4 linked regions of the Arabidopsis thaliana genome follow. The protein of the gene in region 2 interacts with the protein of the main gene of each other region in a pairwise test. Each region holds a gene or a part of one and is shown on either strand. Other genes may lie near its edges.

Region 1 (4,550 bases), about 15 Mb from region 2:
GTTTTAGAGAAGCGCATAGGCAAGATCCTTCACCTAGAAAAGGAGTGCTGAATGACAATCATTTGAATAACACTTGACTTCAAGCTCTTTACTCCCTCGGCCGTGATCAAAGCAGCAAACACTTTGGTAATCATAGTGGTGACATTATAAGCCAGAGCCATCCGTCTCAGCTCACGCCGGTCTTTGATCTAAAGCATCGTCTGATCAACATCGATGGAATCCGCCTATTCGGGCACCACATCATTACATGCTGTTGCATGTGGTGATAGAATCACTTTGGATTGGTTTATGGGTATGGAACTAAAATTCGGTAAGTGAACTGGTCTAGATTGGTTTTGGAACAATGTCAGGTTTACCATTGATCTCGTAGTACATAGTCAAATCATGTTATACTAATACTTCTACTTCTGATTAAAGATTTGGCTGTTTATCACTTTATATAGGCAATTAGCCACTGTATCTTCAAACTCTTAATCCAAGTTCTACTGTTATTAGAGACTAAGCAGATATGAATGGATTTGAGGCATAAATATCGAGAGAAATTAATTTTATTAATGTGTCTAAGCAGCAAAAGCGCAACGGATGTGTTCAAATCGCAACCCACCGAAAAAAACAGATACGTAAATCCGAGAGTACATTAAGCAATCATATGACAAAGTTCAAATGCAATGCGACCCCTCCAGCCCCCAACCAAAAACAGCCATGACTCTCGGGGAGACACACACACACACACAGAGCATACGTCACAGCTTAAGCATCAGCAAACCTGCAACCAACAGATACAAACTCAAATCACACCACTGAATTAATATTTACTTTCTAAATGATTCATAGATTCAGGATAAGTACCCAAGCTCAGAAAGCTTCATGTGGGCCTCAGCGTAATCAGCGAAAAAGGCATCTTCATCCTGTTCACATTGTCACAAGAAACCATGAGTTCTCTTCTCTCTCTCTCTACCAAGTGAAAAACAGAAAAAAGGGAATGAAAGACATACAGCAGCGTATTTCTCGACCAAAGGACGGAAAACAGGGTCGTCCAATAGTGCTTTGTCAGAGACAAGCTGAAGAAGGCCTTCCTTCTCTCCGCTCAAGAGTTCCCTGCCCATATATAATTTGATTAGTAACCATATAAGCCACTGAATCCTCCTACAAGGGAACTTGGGATACTCACTTGAAGTAAGAGTTGTCGAAGATTAGAGGGTTTGATGTCCATGCACCTTCGAAGCCAGACCTATCCTTGTGGCATCGTCCCTGCGATATCATATTTTGCTAGCACTCATCAGAATTTGTAAGCTTGGAGCAAACAAATTTTAAAGTTTTAAGCAGTTGGAGAGAAACGAACCAGAGTGTGGGCACCAGATAAAGCGACAATGTCTTTGTCAGATAAGCCCATCTGCTTAGCAAAGACATCTCTCAAATGGTCACAACCCTTGGTAGCATCAGGAAGACGACCCTCTGGAGGTGGTTGGGGCTTGTCCTGAAATCAAGATATGCATTTTAGAAACAGAAAATCAAGTCCCACAATTATCAATCAGCCATCTCTACAAAGAAAGCAGAACACGTTCTCTCGACCAAATTGAGTATATGATAACCTTAGAGACGGCAAACAAATCTACAGCAATGACTAACCTCTCTTCCAGGGTGGAAAGGAATGTCAGGGCCACCAGTAACTTCAACGGCCACAACACCAGCAAGCTGAATGATCAATTTCACACCACAAGGATATCTAGAGTTAGAATCCAAACCTTACAGTTATCACCGTTAACCAAATAGTGCTTTTTAAAATTTAAAACCATGTACCTGATGGAAATCAGCAAAAGAGATGGTAGGGAATTGCTCCCTGATGGGGTCCAACAACCTAAGAGCAATGTGGATACCACTGTTGGCTCCATGAGCTTGCTCAGCGTCAAACCTCATTGTTCCGAATGGACCTCCAGTCCTTGATTGACAATCGAAAGTTCCAGCAGAGTGCCATCTGCAGTTTAGCCAGACAGATCAGCCATGAGAAAGTTCATAATCCTACATACTTCAAAACCACAAGCAAATATGGTTAGTTACTTACGCGAGTCGGACCATGATGGGTGCACAGTTCTTCTCAGCGATCAAACCTCTGAGCTTCCTCCTGCACTTCTCAACAGCCTTCTTGTAATCTTCGCTCACGGTTGGGTAGTTCTTCGTCATCTTAGCTAAGCTCTGGAACAAATACACAGATATATATACATGAGCCTCACTACTAAATAAACGCACAGATCAAATCCAAAACTCACGAAATCCAACTATACATAACAAGCTGAGAATCATAAACAACAACAGCCTCTAAAACAGCTTCATACGAGTGGAAAAAAAAAAAACCTAAATCAAGCAGGAGTGAGCTACAGAAGCCAAATCTCTCAAAAACTTTCACAGATTCGTAAGATTAGCCTAGAAACTCAGCAATATCGAACCACAGAACAGAAACGAGAGAGCTGACGATAATAACGCCGATCGCAGCAACGAATCGTGGATCTACTACGAAAAACACATCATTAAGCACAGATCAAGCCAAGCATAACAATGATCCGATCGAGTCAAGATGAAAATGGAAGCAGCAACGACGGATCAGAGAGGGAGAGAGAGAGTTTCCGTCATACCTTGTTTCGAGGAAGGATAATAAAATCTGGAGAAATGCGAGTGGCTGGCACGAGTAAGACACGAGTACTACTTTTTATGAGAGCGTTGAGGAGAAGAAATGCGAAATATATAGAGTCATGAATGAGAACGTTCTGGTAGATCTGTAGATGCCGTTAGATGACGGATATCGTGTGGTCAAATTTGCCAATATAATTGACGATCATGATTAAACGCACGGCTTTAAAATGGACGTTCGGATCTTAGGGTTGGTGGTATATAGATGGGAAAAGAATAATCCTTCAATATTATTAGGAAATAATTGGCAATATGCAATTGGAGGATACATGCTTCGTGTGGAGGGCCCACTAACTTTGGGGAAATTATCAAAAAGGGCGTTGATGTTGAATTTTCTTCAGTAAATTGACGAAATTAGGCATCAGAGGACTTTTATTGCGAACACGTTGGGCAGTGGTATTTCCGTGATTTCATCTGTCGCAGGTGTGAACGCGTCTCACGCAGACGAAGATCCCAATTGGACTAAGGATATGATAAAGTCACAGCAGCAGTGTTATTAGGTTTCTCACCCATCGCTCCTTGATTGGTGGGTCATAAACCAATGCGGTTTAGACCTAGCAATGCACGGTTTGGTTAATTGTCCACATTTATTAAGTCTGCGATTCGGAATTTTGAATCGGTTATTAGAATAGGTAACAACGAATGTCCTCTGTTTCATGGGGAACAAATTTTCATGCCCACCTACTTTTGCTTGGCTTGTCGAAAGATTCGAGAACCGGTGTTGTTTGATAGGAATCTACTCGACGGAAGTCGTGTTTTCTCTCTACTCATGTTATTAACGCAAGCCAGAAAAGAAGATAAGCCAGTTACTGCAGCAAAACAAGTGAGCCGTATATAATATAGTTCAATGACAAGTCTGAGTTAGTTAGTAGTAACAGACGTCTGCTGTGCTGGTCCTTCCCAAGTGTATGTATCTGTTTTCTTGATTCCTCAATTCTATTGTGTGGCCTACTTTTCTTCTTCTTTAATATCTCATGAAATTCTTGTGTTACTACTGATTTCTGCAGACATGGTCTTATACTCTTATAGGGTAGTTGTTTTTGGTTAAGGTTTGGATCATAATTGCGGAGAATGCAAAAGCAATGTGAGAGCCTTTTCATGAGAGAATTTGCATTGTTTCTTAGTATTTTGACTCATAAAATGCTGAAGCTAATTTGAAATATTCAGTGATATGTTTTTGTGGTTCCTGAGCCTTATATCTTAGCTTCAGCTACATCTACATAATTATCAGGTTTGATCACCTTCTCTGATCCTTAATATGTAAGAAGATATAAGATGGGAGAATTGGATCGATAATGCAGGTTTGTGAGATAGTGAAAATGAGTTCAGAGGTGTTTTACTTTCACACAGGTTCTGTTTACTTAGCACACAAGAGAGAGTTTTGACATTGAAATGAGACTTGAGAATAATCTCGCTTTTGTATGTTTACCACTTTGCTTTTTACTTACTATTGGTTCCTAGGGACCTATTGATCCACAATGAGATAGCTTTTTCTATAGTATACTTCTCTTTTGTTTCTTTTGAATTTTTCTTTAATGATGCAGAAGTCAAGTTTTAACCTTGTAATAATAATTCTCATTCAAATTTCGAAGTTCAACGGATCAAATAAAAAAGTTTGTCTTCATTTGGCCCACCAAAAGCAAAAGGTGCCACCATTTTCTCTCCTCTTACTCACTGCTTTGCCTTTTTAACGGCAACAACAGCTACTTGAGAAACAGTCTTTTAAAACTTGCTTCCTTTTTTAATCTTAAAACCTGTCTTGATCCGAGTTCTTCTTCCAAAGAAGAGATGGAGAAAAGGGAAGATGGAGGGATCTTGACATATGATGGTAGATATGTTATGTACAATGTACTCGGTAACATTTT
Region 2 (7,998 bases):
AAATCAAGATGACATTAAGGGATGGGAAACACAAAACTTACCAATTGAAACTGAGCGTGTGCATCTTGCATACCTGTACAAATCAAAAAGGTAGTTTAAATGTTACTCTTATTTTCCTTGCAATCTTGCAAACACTTGTAACAAGGAATATGTTACAAAGGTAAGAAATCTTACGTGTAACATAAGTTATTGGTCAGAGATTGAAGTCCATCTGCAGTAAAGTTGTTCTCATCCCAAAGAACGTGGTAATGAGCAGGTCGAGAAGTGCCCTGTTAATGGAGTTTTGATTTGTTAAACACTTCAAATAAATTCTCACCCACAAACTCATTTGAGATTGTAAATTATACCTGAATACCAGCATGACTACAGAGGTAAAAGTCAAACTCTGTAGGGTGGCAGATTTTAGAGTCCACAACAGTGCCTACAATTAACAAAGGGGTTAAAAACCAATGCAAGGGATTTTCAGCTGATTAGGTCTACGCACAAAAAGCTTGACAAAGATCCAAACTTGTCTCACCAGGTAAAATATTCCCACTTCTGTCCACCGAATGGCGATCATTGTGGTTCTGAGCAAACAGCCTCGTGTGATGACGCTTCTGCACCACCACAAATGTCACTGGTGGTTGATAACCTGCTTCCAGCGAAGCACAGGCCTGAAATGAGTTGAAATAATAATCAGATTAAACAGAAGAAAACGAGCACGCAACACAAGCCATTTGTTAGAAGTAACTGTTACCTTGCGGATGGCATCAAGTTCATAGAGCAAAACTTGGTAAAATTGTCCCTCACTGACTCCATCCCTGTGCAGAATAACCATATAATACATTTCAGAAAGAAAGACAGAAAGTTATTTAGTCAAGTAAGTGCCATAAGAAGAGTTAATACCTGTAGAAGATGATCCTTAGTGGTTTATGCCCAGTTGATCTACGGAAGGCTATGAGCAACTCCCTGTTCAAAAGTAAGGGGAGAAACGTACAGATCTGTTACTTAAGAGCAAGCTAAAGCTAAAACCCAATCACGAAAATATTAAATAACATCCACACGTACTTTATCATGCCACCAGTCACCACACCTTTCTGAGGATCCTTCCACTCTTTGAACAGATCCTGAATGAGCTCCTGCCTATGCGCTTGAGCGCAAACTAATCCAGCATATTTAGTGATTTCAGGCCAATCCTGAGATGCCACAACCTGAAAACAAAAATTTCGTTGTCAACAAAACAAGCACAATTTGAAAAGGTTAAGGCCATGAAAATAAACAAAAGCATCCATATACAGAAGTAGATCTTAAAGGAGAAGCTAACTTACAGCAGCAATAGATGGGCTTGAATCCTCTCCAGGGTGAGGGTGGGTAACATCAGCACCAAATATAATGGTGGGTCGATCACTGACTAGAGGAATCCGCCTAGATAGAGCATCAACAAGCACTGTGTTTCTTCCTCCAACCTTCACATTAATCTTCAGCGCAACATTAGCCATGTATTGTTTGCTCATCTTAAAGACATGCTTTGTCAGGCAACATTGAGAGACTATGCCGAGTTCAGTCTCACATATGCGTTTCAAATCACCTGCAATGGATATTATTAAGGAAAATAAGTTGAGAGTGTGTTCCTAAGCAGAAGTAGACAATGAAACATCCGAGACCATGGCTCATACCGTATAATGATCCATTATTATCGGGCAGAATGACAATAAGCAGATCAATTTCTTTTCCTTGGGAGAGTTTTGATGTGGCATCATGATATCTAGTCTTCAAGACCTTCTCTACTTGCTCAGGGCGAGCACTGACTGGTGGGAGGACTGGTTCCGGATTAAATGCCTGCAGGTAAGAAATAAAAAATTAAAGGGAAGGAATCAGTGTAGGAAAGGTTAATAAACTGATCAAGTTTGTGCTTCCAAAGACTCACCATGCCAGATACGTAACACATTTGAGCAAGTTCCTGACAAAATGTACGCGCTAGATTGTCCTGCACTTGCCTAGAAAAGTTGATGCAGATCCAATTATTCACCGTTCCACCATTGATCATTTTCTGCAGAGAAGACTCATATTAGCCAGACAACAGAAAACGTTGTGATCACTTTCAAAAAATAACAAAGACAAATTCAGTGTGTATCTACATAGCTACATGAACAAAATACTCTCTGCAACTAGTCAAGTGCCACACCCATACTCATATCAAGAGAATAGCATTTTAGAGTAATATGTCTCATAACAGACAAATAAATAAACAATTTTCTTGCCAATTACCTGGAAATATACAGCTCAGCCATGATTTACAAAATATTCACATAAAAATGACAGCATAGGTATATATAGGTAACACAAGCAAGAAACATGTAAGTGCATAGTTGAAAACCAGGAACATTTTCGTCTAGTTACCTTATTCATCATGTTCCATTGACCAACTTGTGGCAGACAAGTCCCTTCCCTTCCAGACTCGTGGTACTTAAGCTGCAGAACATTAAAATCAGATTGGAACCCTAATTTGAGTCATTAAGATACAGAGAAAAAGTGTAATAGCAAAGAGACAATGGGAACGATTACTATACCCATGGAGGAGGCAGTATACGAGCCTCAACAGAAGCCAGAGAAGTACTTATTTTGATGCCAAACTCTTGAGCATAATTATCTTTAGCATAATCATTGAGTTGCACCGTCTAGAAATCAGAAAATATTGTATAATGTTAGCAATAAACAATTGAGTTTTCAACAACAGCAGCCAGAAGACACACGCGCTGCTAAATTAAGAGCACAACTCTGAAGATGGTAATCTGCCTCACTATTTATGAAGTAAAGGCATCATCTCAAGGTAAATCACTCTCTTCAAGCAAACATATGCATCCAAGTAAAGAAGAAACAGGTTTTTAAGCCATTCATTCCATAACATCCTTTCAGCCACAAGTTTATATGATTAAAAACAAGTTAGATATGAATTGAGAAAATCACTTACTTCAAGTAAACACATGCAACCAAGTAAGAATAAACAGATTTTACAATGATCTATTCCACAATGAGGCTTTATCACCAGCATACATTATTTAAAACGACTATCAAGATAGGCGGACAAAAAGATACTCTTGATTCAAGTGAAGGAAAACAAAGTTATCGAAAATAAAGAAACATACCTGTAAGATATCTTTTTCTCGATCTATCGGGCGCTGACAGGTAACCTTCAGCAAAGCAGTGATCTGTCTCTCATTCAATCTTTTGGAATACCGCTGGCCTTCAACAATCTTGCATACCTGTGCAGCAACACATTAGAATCGGAAGTACTGGTGAGCTAATAAAACCTGATGACGTATTTCAAAGTTACCTCCATTGGTAAGTAATTAGGCCTATTAGAATTCCCAACTTGCAAGCATGGTAGTTGAGTGTGCTGAATGCGAAAACCATATGTTTCGTGGAAGTATTCTACAACAGATTTCTGAGTATTTCTTTCATCTACTGGGAATCTGAAAAGGATAAAAACAGAGAGTAAAAATTAATTTCATCAAGTTCAACATTCGCGAAATAAGAGTAGTAAATCTAAAACAAATACGCACGTCAATTCCCGAGTGGCCACAGCAGTCAAACCGGAAATGCGGTACTTCCGGCGCATGTTTCCTCGATGAGTCACTTCAACTTTGACACCTCTAAGAGCCTTTTTTATCTGTTGACAGAAGAAGATTCCAAGTCACTAAGCAAAGAAGAGTAGATTAATACAACATTTCACTTACTACAGAAAATGACAATTGATTCATACCTTAACACGATCAGCATCAGATAAAGGTCGAGAAGAAATATCCCGGTTAAGCAAATCACAGACAAACTGAATCACAGGGTTTGCCTCTATGAAGGCTGTCGATGACATATCTACAAAACAGACAAAATTGCAGCACAACCATGAGTTAAACATTCAAGGAGAACCAGATATCAAAAATTATTGAATGTAATACAGCAAGCCATCACACCAATATTGAGTGATAAGCCCATCTGTGTAGGACGAATGCTTTGGTAGAATCCACGCCAGCTCTCCAAGCCATCCCCCAATGATTGTTTTTTTCCTATATCAGGGGAATAAAAGGACCGGCCCACCGGAATATACCTGATTCTAACATGTTAGCAAAACTAAACCAGCTGAGACTTACAAGCATGGTAGTAAAGAAGCAAACATCCATAGGATGAGTAACCAGTACCTAGAGGTCGGCAGCTCACGAAGAACAATGTCAAGAACCTGCAGAGCTTCCTGTGGGGCATCTGATTGTTTCCCCTCCAAAAACATTCCTAGGTGATGCAGATCAGCACGTGCAACTAGCTTGATCACAACTTTAAATTCCCTTTCTCGTCTGTAAAATAGGAAAGATGTTATTATTCTGAAACTTCCTTATTAAAAAAATCAACAAGAAACCATAAGAACTAGACCTTTGACCTCCAGCCCCTACTTCTTCGTCAAGAAGATTGATTCTGAACTCCTTGGAGTTAAAGGGAAGTGGACCAGCAGTGTAAAGACTTTTTCGACCATCATACGCTGGAAGACGACTTCCAAGGTGAGAATCACGATAATTATCAACAAGTTGTTTCATCACAGCACGATTGACACCCCTTGATGTAACTTCCGGAGTAATGGTAACCTAACAGAAAGAACACAGTTGGTCAGGTAAATTTATAAATAGACATTAGATGTATGGTAGCTAATACTAAGGGAACACAAAACTCACATCATAATGGTGCAAATCCTTATCAGGCAGTTCAGCAAAGAAATGGTTAGCCTTCACAATGCAACGCTTTCCACTCTGTCCTTTACCAGGCCTCATTGGAAACTTGAAAGCCTTGCTAGAAGAAGGTATAGGCTGGATTGCCTGACTGGGAGCTCCTTGTTCAACAGAGAGTTGTTCAAATTGCTGAGCCAGAACAGTAGGTTCTGGTACCTGGGTAGGACTCACCTCAGACAGTGTAGGCTGAGAAGACACCGCTTGATAAGTAGGTGAGGTAGCTTGATGCAGCTCGGGAACTGATTGTCTCTGCGGTGGTCCAGAAGAAGGTCCACCTCCACGGCCACCGCCATACCCTCCTCGACCTCCTTGATGAGGAGGTCCTCCTCTTCCTCTTCCTTGGTACTCTTGTGGTCCTCCATACTGTTGTTGCTGTTGTGGTGGTTGCCCATATCCACGACCACCACGACCTCCCTGTTGAGGTTGAGGAGTATAACCCCTTCCACCTTGGTGTTGTCCTCCTCCCTGCTGGAAACCACCTCGCTGTGAACCACGTCCACCACCTGAGACTGGACCAGCTTCACGAGACCCAGAGCCTTCACCTCCTTCAGATGGAGCATCCGTTCTTCTCTTTCTCACCATGATGATTCCTGTGAAAATAACACAACCACCCAAAAACAGTGGGTCATTTTAAAATTATCCTTGAAAATAAGAAGCAAACATTGAAAACAAGCACAAAACTATCGAAATATAGAAGCAACAGAAGAAAACCCTAACTAGCTTCAAAAACAAACGACTCAGAAGCACGAAAACCAGTGATTAGCTAGAGAGATAGAAAACCAAATTCAACAGCCCAAAGCAAACATAGAAAACCTAGTAAGAAACAATCAAAGACCTAAACAGAAAACGAAGTAAGAAAACAAGCACGAAACAGTAAGAAATTTGAAGCAACAAAAAAAAAAAACCTAAATATCTTCGAAGACGAACACACACACCAAAACAGCTACGAAGCTAATAGATCCGAAATCGCAAAGATCAACTAAACATACAACACTATCAGTGAACCATAACACCAAAACGAAGCGGATCCACCCAATCGAGTGGAAAAATCGAGTTCATACGCAGATCGAACACAGATTAAGTGAAGAACAAACACCAAAACCGCCGCCATTTTTACCTGAAAAGCAATCTCTCGCCGGAGAAACTAAGATTGACCGAGAAAATCCGTACGAAACACCAACCCTACGTCGCTCTCGCCTCTCTGTGTTCTCTCTATATCTTTCTCTCTCTCTCTAACTCCGAACAAACGAGATAACTCAAAGAAATGAGATTTTACTGCTACACTTTAAATTCAAGGGTTCTGTGGTTAGAGTAAGTTACGGAATTACCCTCTTCATTAATAGCTGGCATATGTCGACGTGGCGAGTCAGGGTTGGGTCTTTGGAATGCTGACCCAAGGTCGTGTGTAGTCTTTCATTGTTTGTAATGCGCTGATGACGTGGAATTGCATAATGTTTTTTTAATCCGGAAAAAGAAGCTTCTCGAAAACAACAAGACGAAAAACATTTTTGTCGTTTATCTACCAAATCTTTTTTAATTTATTTTACTAACAGTATATGTATTATCCGATTAAATATGATTAGTGTGATGCGTTACCTCGATTAATCTTCAAGAGTTAGTTGCATTAATTTAAATATTTGTTTTAGACTATAATATACCTCGATTAATCTTGTAAAGTTAGTTGCATTAATTTACTATTTCAACGAGAGATAATGCATGCACAAGTGTTCAAAATTAGTAGACCGGCCGTTATTAATCTTATTATTAATCTGTAGTAACTGATTAGATCATAATTTTTGGCTTACGTTACGTATAAAGGATGTTATACAGTTAAGTACAACAGTTTAAAATTGGTACTTGTGTGTGAAGATAAAACAGTGGCTAGAGAAAATGTCGTGAGTCAAGGCGACTGATCGAGTAGTACTAACGAATTGTACATTGTCAAGGAGGATTTTTCATGCAACGAAAGGCAAAATCATGCGAATTACGTTTAGTTTTATAGACTATATATAAGATAAAGTGAATGATTATAGTATAGAGGTGAATAGAAGAACTATTTATTAACTGAGATGGGTCATGGGTGGTGGGGCAAATATGAATATAGCCATTTACTATATAGATAACTCTCTTTCGTTTTCATAGAAATATGACCTGCGATTTCGGGGAAGTGATGCTTTTTTACAGGTTTGCCAATTTTCTAACTTTAGGAATGTGGTGGCTGTCATCACGTGGTATGATTTGTTTGTTTAATTCAATTTACTTTATTTGATGGTTAGCTCTTTAATTTAGTTTCACTAGTTGATTTGCTTCTGTACCTCAAAAAAATTCATATACTCGTAACAAATCTGTATTATATATAATTGTCAAAGATGATTTATACATATATAACAAAATTGGTTGCTCGTGCGTGAAGAAGAAATATGAGCTAGAGAATATGTCACGAGTAATTACATGCTGACGAAAGGCTAAATCTTGGGGAAAACGTTTAGATTTCTTTTTGTGATAACTGTAAGTCTATCTCAAAATGATTCGTTTGCTTTGGGAAATAATGATTCTTTTCATTATAAACATTAATTATAATAATCAAACGAGAAATTAAAAGGCGAAAGATTATAATAATCAAGCGAGATGTATAGAAGAACTTATATATGATTTCTCATAACGGAAGAAGAACTTAGAACTCGTCAAGTACTACTACCTCGAGAGTCGAGATGAAGATTAACGGCATATAAGCATTGATATCAATCAAGATTGGTGTACGTAATTACGGGCACCAACGCACATGCATGCATGGCGAGTCTAGCTAGAACCGATCGAAAACGTTGGTTTACGATGGAGGTTTGTGTTCCTTATAAGAACTACGTACAGTTTGGCTCATGTTTGAGTCGATTGGTGCGGTCTTGACGAGAAACGACTCTCACGGCTCGGTTCTCTTCTATAATCAATAGATGTTTTTGTACAAGTTTACGTTTCCGTGTTAATTAGGTGAAAGAATATCTAGACACTTTACCTAACAAAAGATTGTCTAGATCATATAGTAAGGTGAAAAAACATAAAGTTGTAGACAAAATATTAGATGTTGATTGGAGTTCTAAATCGAGATATTGTAGGAAGCCGTTAAGAGGAAGAAAGTTACAAAAGACTTATGAAAATGATGTTTGAACGAAGACTTTATGTAAAACTCCATAAAGTCTTAGTTTTCCTTTGGAAGCCATTAGCGTATGGTTTGGAATTTGGATAGTGACCA
Region 3 (3,978 bases), on a different chromosome or scaffold from region 2:
GGCAATTTCTCTTTATAAAACTATATAATCTCTATAGAATAAATTATAATAATTTGACCCGCGGGTGAATACGATGATCTGATGACCTATAAGGTAGTCCGGTTCGCTATCTGGATCGGGTTAACATTGACCCTATATAAACCAAGCATCCACCAACAAACTTAGTTGACTAAAGAGTCTCTGGACCTAGAGGTCAAGAGTCCAATTTTCGTTTGGGAGATGGTCACATTACATCTTTTGGTCTCTCTAGCATCAGGGAGTGTACGAAATTAGGTTTACAACCTCTTTGATCATTTAAAAAACTTTTAGACAACAATAGATTTAGAGGCTACTTACATTTGTTTCTAAAGAATTTCCAATTTTGATGATCCTAATGGAAAAAAGGTTTGAAGGTTAGGGACTTACGGTTTACAAACTAAGAAACAAAATGGTTTGTAAATTTTATTGATACATATAACTACTATATTTTTCATGTAAAATAACAATAACGTTGGCGATGTTGCAAAATCGTTTTCGTTGGTCAATTCTCTTACTGGTATTTTAAACGCGGCCAAATTTTAGGGCATTGCTTTAAGATAAACAACAACTAACAAAAATTTACAGAATAAAATCAGATGCCCAAAAAAGAGAGCAAAATATGAGTTCATACTTCACATAACACTAAAAGGCTTAACCAAACAAACAAGGGAAATAAGCAAAATGATGTCCTAAAGAACGCAACCAGAATCAAGTCATAATGTAACTTCACTGTAGAAATCATAAATCTTGTTTCTTTTTGTGGGCTTAAGATAAAATTCTCTCACTTAGCCATCATGACTTTGACGAATTCTTCATAGTTAATCTGACCATCGCCATCAACATCCGCTTCTCGGATCATCTCATCAACTTCCTCATCGGATAGCTTCTCACCGAGATTTGTCATGACATGTCGAAGCTCTGCTGCAGATATGAAACCATTCTGGTCTTTATCAAAAACCCTAAAAGCTTCCTTGAGCTCTTCCTCTGAATCAGTGTCCTTCATTTTCCTTGCCATCAGGTTCAGGAACTCCGGGAAATCAATGGTCCCGTTCCCATCTGCATCAACTTCATTGATCATGTCTTGAAGCTCAGCTTCTGTTGGGTTTTGCCCCAGAGACCTCATCACGGTTCCGAGCTCCTTGGTGGTGATACAACCTGCAACCAGATTCAGGTATAATAAGCTTTTAGAGACAGACTTATATCCACAGTCAACAAACAAAAGCCATTGTATTTCTTATTTCGACTGATGAAGATCTGGTAAGTAAAAAAGAGAATGATTTTTTTTCATTCAACAAAGTCCTACTAAGTTAACAAAGAAACTCCATTCATACAAACTAAAAATAATCACTCTTCCAAGTCCTACCTAAAGTGTTAGGGTAAAAGAAATATTCTGTGTTTATTCCGTCTTTCCTTATGTGTGTGTACTAGCAAATCTAGAATCATGTGTATTAAAAAGACACAATATTCTTCTCCAAATCTCTTTACATGGTATCAAAGCCAGAATCAAAACCCTAGCCACTTCGTTCTATTGAACCCACATCTCACCGTGCAAAGGCCAATAATGCACAACAGAATTTTGCAAGTTTTTCACCAATCAAAGCAGAATACATTCCTGATATCTACAACATCAATCCTTTTTTCAACAATTAAACTACTCAAAATCTCAACATATGGATAAATTTCCCAAAACATTTCATTGCTGCATCACGAGACTGAACCAGAACAAGAACAAAACACAGCGTGAGTCATGAATCGCTATCGAATTAGCCAAAAGCTAGATCGTTCACAAGTGAAACAAACACGAATCATACAGAAAACTGAAGAAGATCATAAATCTGTCAAACAAATTCCAGAACTCGTATACGGACGGAGTAATCATCGGGGAAAAAACGCAAAGATCTGGGAAAGAAACATACCATCACCATCCTTATCGAAGAGGCTAAAGGCTTCCTTGAACTCTGAGATCTGGTCATCGGTGAGCTGATCCGCCATTTTCCTTCTTACCTTTTTTTAGAAATCCCAGATTTTTTTTTTGCTACTGAATATATTATTTGCCTCTCTAATAATAATTCAGCAAGAGAGCTTATAAAAGAGAGAGAGCCCAACAACTTATGGTTGGGCCTCTAAAGATTTACTAGCTAATTCAGTAATTCTTATGATTTTTTTGTCTTTTTAGTTTAGTTTTTTAAGACAATTATAAAGAAAACTATAACCTTTGCAGTTAATTTAGACATATATACTAGGTAATAAATCTATCAAATTAACAATTATTAATTTTTTTTGACTATTTTCAAAACTGATTTAGTAGAATATTTTACAGTATATCAATTAAACTTTTGACATTATTTTTTTCATTTAAATATTTAATTATAAAAAGTTTTTAAACTAGGATAGATATTTAAGGATATTAATTAATTTGGAAAATTAAAAAAAAACTTATAATATGTTGAAAAAAATAATATATGGATACATATGAAATGATTAGAGTATCCTCTAAATTTACGTTACAGAAACGGATATGTATAAGCAAAAATTTTACATGAATACACTTTTTTGTAGAAATAGTTAAACTTGAATCGATTTTACATGTTTTGTTTTAATTTAAATGGATACTTAATAAAAAAGTTAGTCAATATCTCTACATTTTTTCCAAGTAAACTGTTTTTAAATTTTTTTAGTTTTTATATTAAAAACAAAAAGAGTGTTCGATCATTTATATGAGTCTTATTATTCCACACCTCTAGAATATATATGTACTCGCTACAAATGAGTCTAATGAGCTTTTGCCGTTGATGATTTGTTCAATGTTCTAATAATTGTCATCAGTCTATAACCATTGACACTACACAAAACGGTTGCAATGTATGACTTTTGTTGAACTTTGTAGTGACTAGTAAGTAAGTGAGAGTGAAGAAGCAACGGTTTTTCTTTCTTACAAAAAACTCATATATACTTCAGAGTTAAGACTTAAAAATATATAATAGTGGATAAAATCAGTTACAACTATTTTTTTTTTTAAATGGTCTGTAACAAAAACATAAGAATTCATCGATTACTTAGAAACAACTCAAATGAGAAAGAAAAAAAAACACCTATTGATTAGGTCCATATCTAGTCAAAATCTGAATACTCAAATATTTTGTCATTACATTAATTAACCCAAAATAATTGACCAAAAAAGGCAAAAAACATAATTTTATTTCTTAAGAAAATTGAGGAGCTTAACAAAGGAAAGAAACGTATAATTGTCCCATACGAAAAAAAAAAATTAAAAAACAAGTGTCCATTAAAGTGAGAGAGTCCCTACACGAAATTAAATAAGTTTTTGTCTGTTAGCTACAAATTTCTCTACAATCATCGTATCTCTTTCGTCGCATCTCTATCTCTTGTTGCTCCTTGTATTAGCCCATCATTTTTTTATTTCTCCTGCGAATTCTCCGCCATAGATTTTCTTTTGAATTTCTCCTGCTAACTCTTGAGCTCCCCAAAGGCGGCTACATCGGTTTTGTCACCTCTACTCGCTCACTTTTCTCCGTCCAATTTTGCAGGTTTGTTGGTCGATTCTCCATGTTTTTGCTTCGAATTCGATGAGTAATTCGGTAACTTAGAGAGTTGCTTACGCTTTTGGTTTATGTGTAAAGTGTGCATAATCTCTATATTATATGATGGTGATGATGATTAGTTCTGTAGCTAACTCGAGAATCTCGCTTCAATTGTGTATCAGTACAAATATTGGTTTAGTGGAGAATTTTGGATTTGTAGATGCTTGCTTGAACAATATATGATTTATCTAAGTCATGATTCTAGAGATTTAGGCTGTTTTTGGAGTAATTAAAAAGGATGATCGGAATTTCCGGAGAAAATCTCCGCTGCTAGATTTGTCATTGCCTTGTGGATTTTCAGCTGTTTTTACGCTTTGTCTTTATTGAATTCTGTGGCATATTACTGTTCTTTTCTTGA
Region 4 (7,640 bases), on a different chromosome or scaffold from region 2:
TCTTTAATTTTGTTCCCTGTTTGATGAAATTTTACTATTTTTACTAAAAGTTAAAACATTTCGGGTTTCTTAAGTTTTTCGGTTTAGTTCGGTTCTATAAGAGTGCCAACCAATATTATTTTGGTTTGGTATATAATACAAGGTTCATGCTCTAAAATTGCAATACGTTGAGGGAATTACAAGATCTTGAAAATACACAAACAAAAAGTCATCAAAACAACTGAGATCTTACTATTTACCAAAGGTAATAATATCCTTGTTTCCGTTTCAGGGTATTTGTCGCAAAGTTGTGGTTTTTGCTTTCGTAGGAATGTTGCTCGGAGCTCTGTTAGAATGACAAATTAACCTGCAAGTTAAAAATGCTCAAAACCAATTTTTTTGTCCACCGAAGAGTTAACCTCGACCACATTTATTGTAAACATTAAGCTTAAGTGTTCCATTGGAGAAACTTGTCCTTGTGGTCCTTAAACACAAAGTCTATTATTTGGCTACCAAACTTCACTTTTGACTCTCATGCTTTAGCCTCCCCTATATAATTCAGTACTAATCTATGTATATGCACTTATGTTTATTATTCGAGTACAAACTCTGAAAATGTTGGCAGTGGAGATAAAAAAAGAAAAAAATGGAGATCTTTTGGCTAACACCACCAATACCATTTGAACGAACAATCAAAAGCTCAGAATAAATTACCACAAGTGAAAAGAAAAAAAAAAAAAGACTATCGTTCTTCAAAAAGTGTGCTTCTCCACTCTTCGCTTTTGCTCCAACAATCTCTCACTCTCTCTGCATAAACATCATCACATGTTTAAGTAAACACAAACCAAATGAAACACAAACCAAATGAATCATAAACCAAATGGATCTTCATATTTACCCTCTGACGTTTTGACTCTGGAGGTGATGGTGGTTCAGGTCTCCGAGTTGAATTCCCTCGCTCTGTACCTTCCTCCTCCTGCACCTCGAATTTATCCGCAACCGACACTCATTAACACATTTGTATATTCTCACCAGTTACCATTTATCAGATTTTACTAACCCCTAAGCACCGGATTTGATAAGGTTTACCACTTTTACTCCTACCCATCTGTATTATTCTATACACAACCAAAGCTCTACGATAATAAAATCTCTTTCACTATCTAATTACTCCAACACGAATTCACCACAAGTAAATGACAAGTTAGCATGTTGCATAAGGCTTCTAAGGAAATAACTAAATAAGTAACATGTTAAAAGGTGAAAACAATGGTACCTCTGCCTCTCTCGAAGAGGCTTGTCTACTATTGCTGCCTCTGCCTGTAGCAGCTTCACCTGAGCTTGAGGAGGCTACGTTTTGAGATATAAACGGCATGATCTGCTGAAGAACACTCGATATGAAATTCCCTTCATCTGTCGTAGTTGCTGGCTCTACTTGTGCATTTGCAACTGCTTCGTTTGTTTCTGTGGACGCTGTGGCAGAGGGATTTGCTGCACCCTGAGACTCCGTGCTCCCGGCTTGGTTTTCTCGACGAGATAAGGGCCTCAAAAACTGATGGATTCTGTTTCTCAATTCAGACAAACCCCGACCGCCAGGAGAAGCACTGCTATCACCTACATATTTCATAGAAGCAAAGATTTATGACATATCCTGCGTTTAGGTAACACATCATCTACCAGGTCTAAGAAGATTGAAGCCAAAACAACCAAGGGAAACATCAAATCAAACATAATATGAGACAACCCAGTAATAAAAGGTAACAGACGTGAAGTTTTCTCTTATCGACAATTCAACAAATAAATCAGTACAATAGTGTAGGGAAGTTATATTAGAACTAACCTTCTCTTCCTGGAGTACCGACGCTCTGTGGCTGCCTAGAAGATTCAGTAACAGGCTGATGTACACCATCCAATCCAGTAGAGCTACGTCCACCAAGAGATATCTGCTGATATCGAGCAACAACAGGTATAACTAAGGCCACAGGATTTCGAAGAGGTTCAGATGGACCTCTCGTTGAGGGGGCAGGATCAGTAGTGCTGCTGGGTGTAGAAGGGATTGTCTGCCCAGGGGTTTGTTGTGTAGTACTTTCCTCTCTCTGGTTGGTCCCACTGGCGGGCACCCAAGATCCTAATATAACACATCACCAAGATGAATCCAGATATAAGATTAAAAAAAGGAACTTAATATGAAGTTTTTCAATATATAGCAGGAAAGAACAGTTAATACTTCGAAATTACGGATATGAATAGCACCTGTACGTATTCTTACCTGTACGTATTCTTATCTCAATATTTCTTGGGGCAGAGGCAAGTGATTGTCCCGCAAAGGGGTTAGAATGTGCGGTTCCTGCTTGTAAGCTTCCAATACTCGTGCCCAGCCGAGAGGAGTGTGACTACAAAAGTTAAAGGTAACACAAAGGTAAGGTGAGCAGGACAAGTGGACACACTGGTAATGGTGAAAGAAAGTAACAAATAGATAGACCGGCAAGGGATTTCGCCCTGTAGGGGATATGAACACTGCAGGTCCAGCATCAACAACAGCATCATCCTGACATGTAACATAACAAGTGTCATATAGATGTATGGGTGTATCATATTCTGTGAACAAAATCATATGCAAACTAATGCATCAATAATAAAAATTGCAAGATTTAGATCCACAATATGTAGCAAAAGAATACGCACAGGTGTTTGTCCCAAACGAAGCATCATGGTGGCACGGCCAAGCTCCAGGAGTGAAATGCCTAAACTCTCCAAGAGGGATCCTGATTGAAGCATGTTTGACTGGCACAACCTTCGGGTTGGCGGATCGGTCACATTTACATGATCCACGAGCTGCCTCGAAAGATTCTGCAAAAGAGAGATACGAAACGGTTATTCTTTGTTTCCCTGGATTTGATTAACTAATGCCAGCTCAAGTCAGTCAGTTAAAAGATAGCAAAAACCCTGCATGTCACTAATGTTGAACTAGCCTTACTAACTTCAATATTCTAACATTGCAACATTCACGAAGAAGATACAGTTGTTCCCAGGGTACTAAAAGTCGGAAACAATAAGTCTACAGGGCTAGGAGGTTCTGTTAAGAGTTTATCTGAGTCCCATAAATTGATGTAATAATTTCCGCATTGGTCAAGACTGTCAAAATAAGCAAAGACACAAATGGCTTTCTCAAAAGGAATGTATGAGATAAAAGTAAAAGAGCATACAGATAAGCAATCTGCTACTTCACCGATCAACAATTGCCTTGTTGATTGCAGCACTTCTGCCAAATGAGATGGTCTTGGAATCCGACTCTCTCCAGTAGTAGAAGCAGAATCTTGCACATTGCCCACTGAATTTTCAGAATCTTGCAAGTTATTAGCATTGCTACCTGCAAAAATTACAGTCCCACAGTCAGACTCTCGAGACTTGTTTTTGGACACACAACCAAACATTTAAAAATTAGTCTAACCATTAGCAGCAAACTCTTGTCTGAGATGATTCAGATATTCAGATAAGGTTGTCAACGAATCTGGAATCGCCTGCAGTAGTAAAAAGTTAGCGTATGATGTACCTTATAAAAATTATGTAAAATGAGTAATCATGGAAACAAGGGAGCTCGTACTGCTGGTTGTGAAGATGCCAAGGGAGTAGACGTCTGGTCCACAGCATTTGGTGTGGCAGATCGCCCTCCGGAAGAATCTCTTGCAGTGCCAGGACCAGAACTCCGAGACAGCCTCTCATGAAGAGGACCCTGACAAATAAAGGGAACTCTCTTACATCCAAAAACGATTTATACAAATATGCAGCAAATTATATGACAATTACCATATCATCGATCCCTTCAATACCACCTTCTGGATTAGAGATCCCAAGTGAACCCAGAACAGCTGAAACTATCTACCAGACATAAAACAAAGCTCATGAAAAGGATCGCACATATTTTTGATTGTCAAAAAAAAGGAAAAGGATCACATCTAATCCAACACACAAAAATAAAAACAGATCAAACAGATAAAAGAGGGTATACCTGTCCAAGATCTGAATAGACTCCATCAGCTTGTTCAGCAATGTTGAAGGATCCTACTACAACTCGTGATCGTTGACTGCCCTGGCTGTCACCAGCACTCAAAGCAGGATCAGCCGCTATAAAAACAATATTTCCACTCAGCATGTTGAAATAGAGTCTCACAAAAAGCATTGGTAAATGCTAAACTATCATGATTATAGAAATTCAAAGATGTTCAGTAACAGTATTTGGGGCCACAAATTTGTACGGGAACTTGAAACTACCTGCATTACTAGTTGAACTCTCTGATACAGGTTGTCTGACTACCAAATGCAGAGTGTGGCCATCTTCAACATCTAAGATGGAACCATTAAGGAATTTTACCGGTAAAAGGAAAAGTCTACCATACGACACTGGAATTGTAAACAAGGAATTCAAAACCAAGGGCTACATCAGCAAACTAGGGTTCACAAATCACAACTGAAAAGGAAAACTCTAAGAAAGAACTGGGGCAATATGCTGGAAAGAACAAAAAGGATACGATAGGCTGATAGGAGTTGATCATCCTTCATAACTTTTCCACGACATATCAAGCGTTGTTGTTCCGTAACGACACCAGTAACGGAGGCAACTTGCTCCTTCAATGCGGGAACAGGGACCTGAGATAAAACAAGAAAACAGAAAGCAAATATAAGAAAGGCTATTTAGGACACAAATAAACAAGTGAGTATTGAAATAAGGCATTAGTTCCACAATTTTAGTCAAAGGATTGATTTTAGTAATTAGAAACTTCATTATGCAACACATGCATACGAAGAAAGACAGACCTTACAGGTACTAGTCTCAGTTCATGGAAACAGAAAATGAAACATCATAAGAAATCTAAACCACTATGGCTCGTTTTTCATACACATTTATCTACACGTAAGGTGTACGTTTGAGAATCCAACGTCTTTATCTTTATCTCAACCATAGCACCAGCGCATTGAGATGCCTCGACCATAATTTCATCTTTGCCATTGTCTCCCATCCTTTCAAATGCCTTCAAACACCTGGAACCAATAAAAGTATCAGCTTATATTTAGCTATATCAGCTGCATGCAAAAACAACCTTTGATCATCAAGCACTGAGACAAAACTCAACACTTTTTCGAGTCTATAGAAGAAATATTTCATACAAAACCCTAAAGAAGCAAACTTTCATGGACGGCACTAAGAAAATTTCACCACGCCAATAAAACTCGTTCAAATCATGTAGAAATCTTAAGACTACGACTTCAGGAGAAACAATGAAACCGCAATATAGCTTTTGCCTAAGACGAAATTCTTGACTAAATCTCTGAAAATTCGTAAAGATGGACACTTTATATCAAAATCAAGAGGAGAATCATGTCTTTAACTACTCCAACTCCACAAGAAACGGAAAAGAAAACAGGTAAAGATGTGATCATAATCAATAAACACGCTACGGAATCTCAACTTCGAAAACTCTTAATAAATAGCAAACCATATTCATCAAATTCAATCAAATCACCAGAAAAGTTCTAAGCTCTTCCGGTGACAGAAAAAAAACAGAAGAATCGATCTTAAACCCTAGAAAAACGAACAAAACGGTATAAAAGACGAAATTAGTAACGGAGATGAATCGAAACCTAGAAAATTGATCGGAGTCGAAATCAGCTGAGGAAGAGAGAAGGAGATTTGGGGAAGAATCTTTAACCCTAAGAGTCCTTTCGCGGCTCCGAGAGACGATTCCGCGGCGAAGGAGAGTGAGAGAAGCCTGGCAAAAAAAAAAAAAAACGATTTTTTCTGAATTTTGCCTTTCTTCAGCTTTAATATTATTATTATCACGTGAGTAATAATTTTAAAAGTAATTTCAAATTTGATGATTTTTAATTTTTAGGCAAGGAATTTTAATTTTGCTGAATTGTAAGAAATAAAATTTGGTTTTTTGCATAATAGGAGAGGTTTATAAAGTAAAAATATCTTTGACTTTGGCATATTTAGTAAAGAGGATATTAATTTATTCAGATTTGGTATATTTTGGTTTTTCATATAAATCAAATTTATGTCAATATTATTTTAGAAATAAAAATGAGGTGATTTTTTGAAGCGTTGTCGTGTTTGATGAAAGTTTTGTTTTCTAGAAGTAAATGGAGAATGAAGACATATTTTCTATGTTTTAAATTCTTTATTAATATTGTGTAATGTAATTTTTATACAATAAATGATCAGATTAAAAATAAATATGGTAATTTGTTTCTTATCTTTTAAATTAAAATAGTTGGGTTGAAGTTATAATAATAATAAATAGAGGCTCATAACAAAAATTAATAACTAAATATAATATATATTTAAAATATTCGTTATAGAATTAAAAGAAACAGAGAAATGGATTGGTGGGAAATCCAAGTTCAAAATTAAAAAAAAAAAAACATGAGTTGAAGATGCTCTTAAATATGTTCAATTTTCTTTCAAATTAGAATAACTCTATTTTGGAGTTGGGTTTTTCTCCAACCTTTAAAATGGAGAATTCTAAATGTTAATGTAAACTAAAAATAGAGATTTCTAAGTATAGAGGAAAATAAAATAAGAGAAAATCTTTATTTAGTAGTTGAAAATGAAGATGAGTGAAGAAAATCTTTTGAAAGTGAATATGAAGATGGTCAAAGTCTCATTGATCTTAATATGATATTGTATTATTGTTTAAAGTAACAATAGGCATTCAATTTAATCAGTTTAATTGGTTCAATTGTTTTGGTTTTTCGTTTTTTCGATTTTTTAAAATTCTGCCCAAATTAAACCGAATAAAATTTTGATTTGGTTTTGTTTTTGGAACTTGATTTTTAGGTTTGGTTATAAGATTTAAAATCAATTATAAAATAACAGACTTTTTATAATTTGGTTTGAATAATAGGCTAAAGTCAACAGTAAATCAATAAAATAATTGGGTAATTCCAATACAATCAAAGTCCAAGTTATATAACAAACTCAAACTCGTCAAATTTTAGGGTTTTCGCTAAAAATATCATAACACCGAATAAAAAGATTCAAAAAAAACAATGGTGAATAAAAAGATAAGAAAAGAACGAAGAAGGAGGATCTCAAGCTGAAGACAAGAGATTAGAAAATAAGGAAGGTGAAATGATGATTAGAAATCTAGGATTTTTTTTATATGGTTTTTTCTAAACTGAACAAAAAAATTGTTCAGTTTTGATGTGCTAAACCATATAACCGAGAACAAAAATCAATTTAGAATTTCACTGAGTGGTTTATAACTTTGAACCAAATTGAAACCAAAAACTAAAATTATTGGTTCGGTCGGTTTGGTTTAAACAGTCTATGATAATTGTTGAGGACTACTTTAAAAGCATTAAACTATATGTAGTTATGAGACGTTCAACACGAAATTAGAACAGTGTCCTAGCTCTAATGACTTACTTCATAATGACATGAAACACAAAATCAACTTACATTACTATTAGTTAATTCTGAAAAAACGTGTCTAACAGTTTATAATGTTTTATATTTAAAGGGGTTATTAGGATCCTTCACCATCCATTGAAGCACAAATCTTGGTGGTTTATTGTAATGTCTGGTAAAGTAAATCACATCTTTTTTGCAATCCATCCACATAGTTGGCCACATCAACGAAATGTAGCTACTCCATATA

The links.
Region 1: the proteins of AGO1 (region 2) and APX1 interact in a two-hybrid assay, tested with the Arabidopsis thaliana proteins (one study listed by BioGRID).
Region 3: the proteins of AGO1 (region 2) and CAM6 interact in a two-hybrid assay, tested with the Arabidopsis thaliana proteins (one study listed by BioGRID).
Region 4: the proteins of AGO1 (region 2) and AT5G25270 interact in a two-hybrid assay, tested with the Arabidopsis thaliana proteins (one study listed by BioGRID).

The regions. Positions count from the first base shown.
Region 1 is NC_003070.9:2,435,636-2,440,185, reverse strand, and holds APX1 (ascorbate peroxidase 1), read right to left. Parts: upstream 2,906-4,550; 5' UTR 2,631-2,905; exon of another isoform or gene 2,194-2,630; 5' UTR 2,182-2,193; coding exon 2,063-2,181; intron 1,976-2,062; coding exon 1,801-1,975; intron 1,696-1,800; coding exon 1,630-1,695; intron 1,478-1,629; coding exon 1,343-1,477; intron 1,252-1,342; coding exon 1,172-1,251; intron 1,099-1,171; coding exon 996-1,098; intron 909-995; coding exon 850-908; coding exon of another isoform or gene 837-849; exon of another isoform or gene 767-836; coding exon 751-766; 3' UTR 521-750; downstream 1-520. Other genes in the region: AT1G07885 (uncharacterized protein), read left to right, coding at 3,359-3,523; ATMPK13 (Protein kinase superfamily protein), read left to right, coding at 4,474-4,550.
Region 2 is NC_003070.9:17,886,560-17,894,557, forward strand, and holds the start of AGO1 (Stabilizer of iron transporter SufD / Polynucleotidyl transferase), read right to left. Parts: upstream 6,038-7,998; 5' UTR 5,869-6,037; intron 5,342-5,868; 5' UTR 5,334-5,341; coding exon 4,698-5,333; intron 4,611-4,697; coding exon 4,402-4,610; intron 4,326-4,401; coding exon 4,176-4,325; intron 4,091-4,175; coding exon 3,951-4,090; intron 3,853-3,950; coding exon 3,743-3,852; intron 3,650-3,742; coding exon 3,543-3,649; intron 3,453-3,542; coding exon 3,314-3,452; intron 3,243-3,313; coding exon 3,126-3,242; intron 2,658-3,125; coding exon 2,550-2,657; intron 2,452-2,549; coding exon 2,380-2,451; intron 2,030-2,379; coding exon 1,907-2,029; intron 1,819-1,906; coding exon 1,656-1,818; intron 1,568-1,655; coding exon 1,308-1,567; intron 1,191-1,307; coding exon 1,048-1,190; intron 949-1,047; coding exon 886-948; intron 801-885; coding exon 737-800; intron 654-736; coding exon 518-653; intron 422-517; coding exon 348-421; intron 270-347; and 4 more.
Region 3 is NC_003076.8:7,213,941-7,217,918, forward strand, and holds CAM6 (calmodulin 6), read right to left. Parts: upstream 2,113-3,978; 5' UTR 2,011-2,112; coding exon 1,935-2,010; intron 1,174-1,934; coding exon 800-1,173; 3' UTR 534-799; downstream 1-533. UniProt on the Arabidopsis thaliana protein: Calmodulin mediates the control of a large number of enzymes, ion channels and other proteins by Ca(2+). Among the enzymes to be stimulated by the calmodulin-Ca(2+) complex are a number of protein kinases and phosphatases.
Region 4 is NC_003076.8:8,757,006-8,764,645, forward strand, and holds AT5G25270 (Ubiquitin-like superfamily protein), read right to left. Parts: upstream 6,001-7,640; 5' UTR 5,620-6,000; intron 5,020-5,619; 5' UTR 4,998-5,019; coding exon 4,878-4,997; intron 4,627-4,877; coding exon 4,509-4,626; intron 4,324-4,508; coding exon 4,252-4,323; intron 4,105-4,251; coding exon 3,989-4,104; intron 3,859-3,988; coding exon 3,787-3,858; intron 3,713-3,786; coding exon 3,584-3,712; intron 3,501-3,583; coding exon 3,431-3,500; intron 3,350-3,430; coding exon 3,186-3,349; intron 2,830-3,185; coding exon 2,665-2,829; intron 2,528-2,664; coding exon 2,462-2,527; intron 2,373-2,461; coding exon 2,249-2,372; intron 2,108-2,248; coding exon 1,820-2,107; intron 1,594-1,819; coding exon 1,256-1,593; intron 956-1,255; coding exon 878-955; intron 787-877; coding exon 778-786; 3' UTR 429-777; downstream 1-428.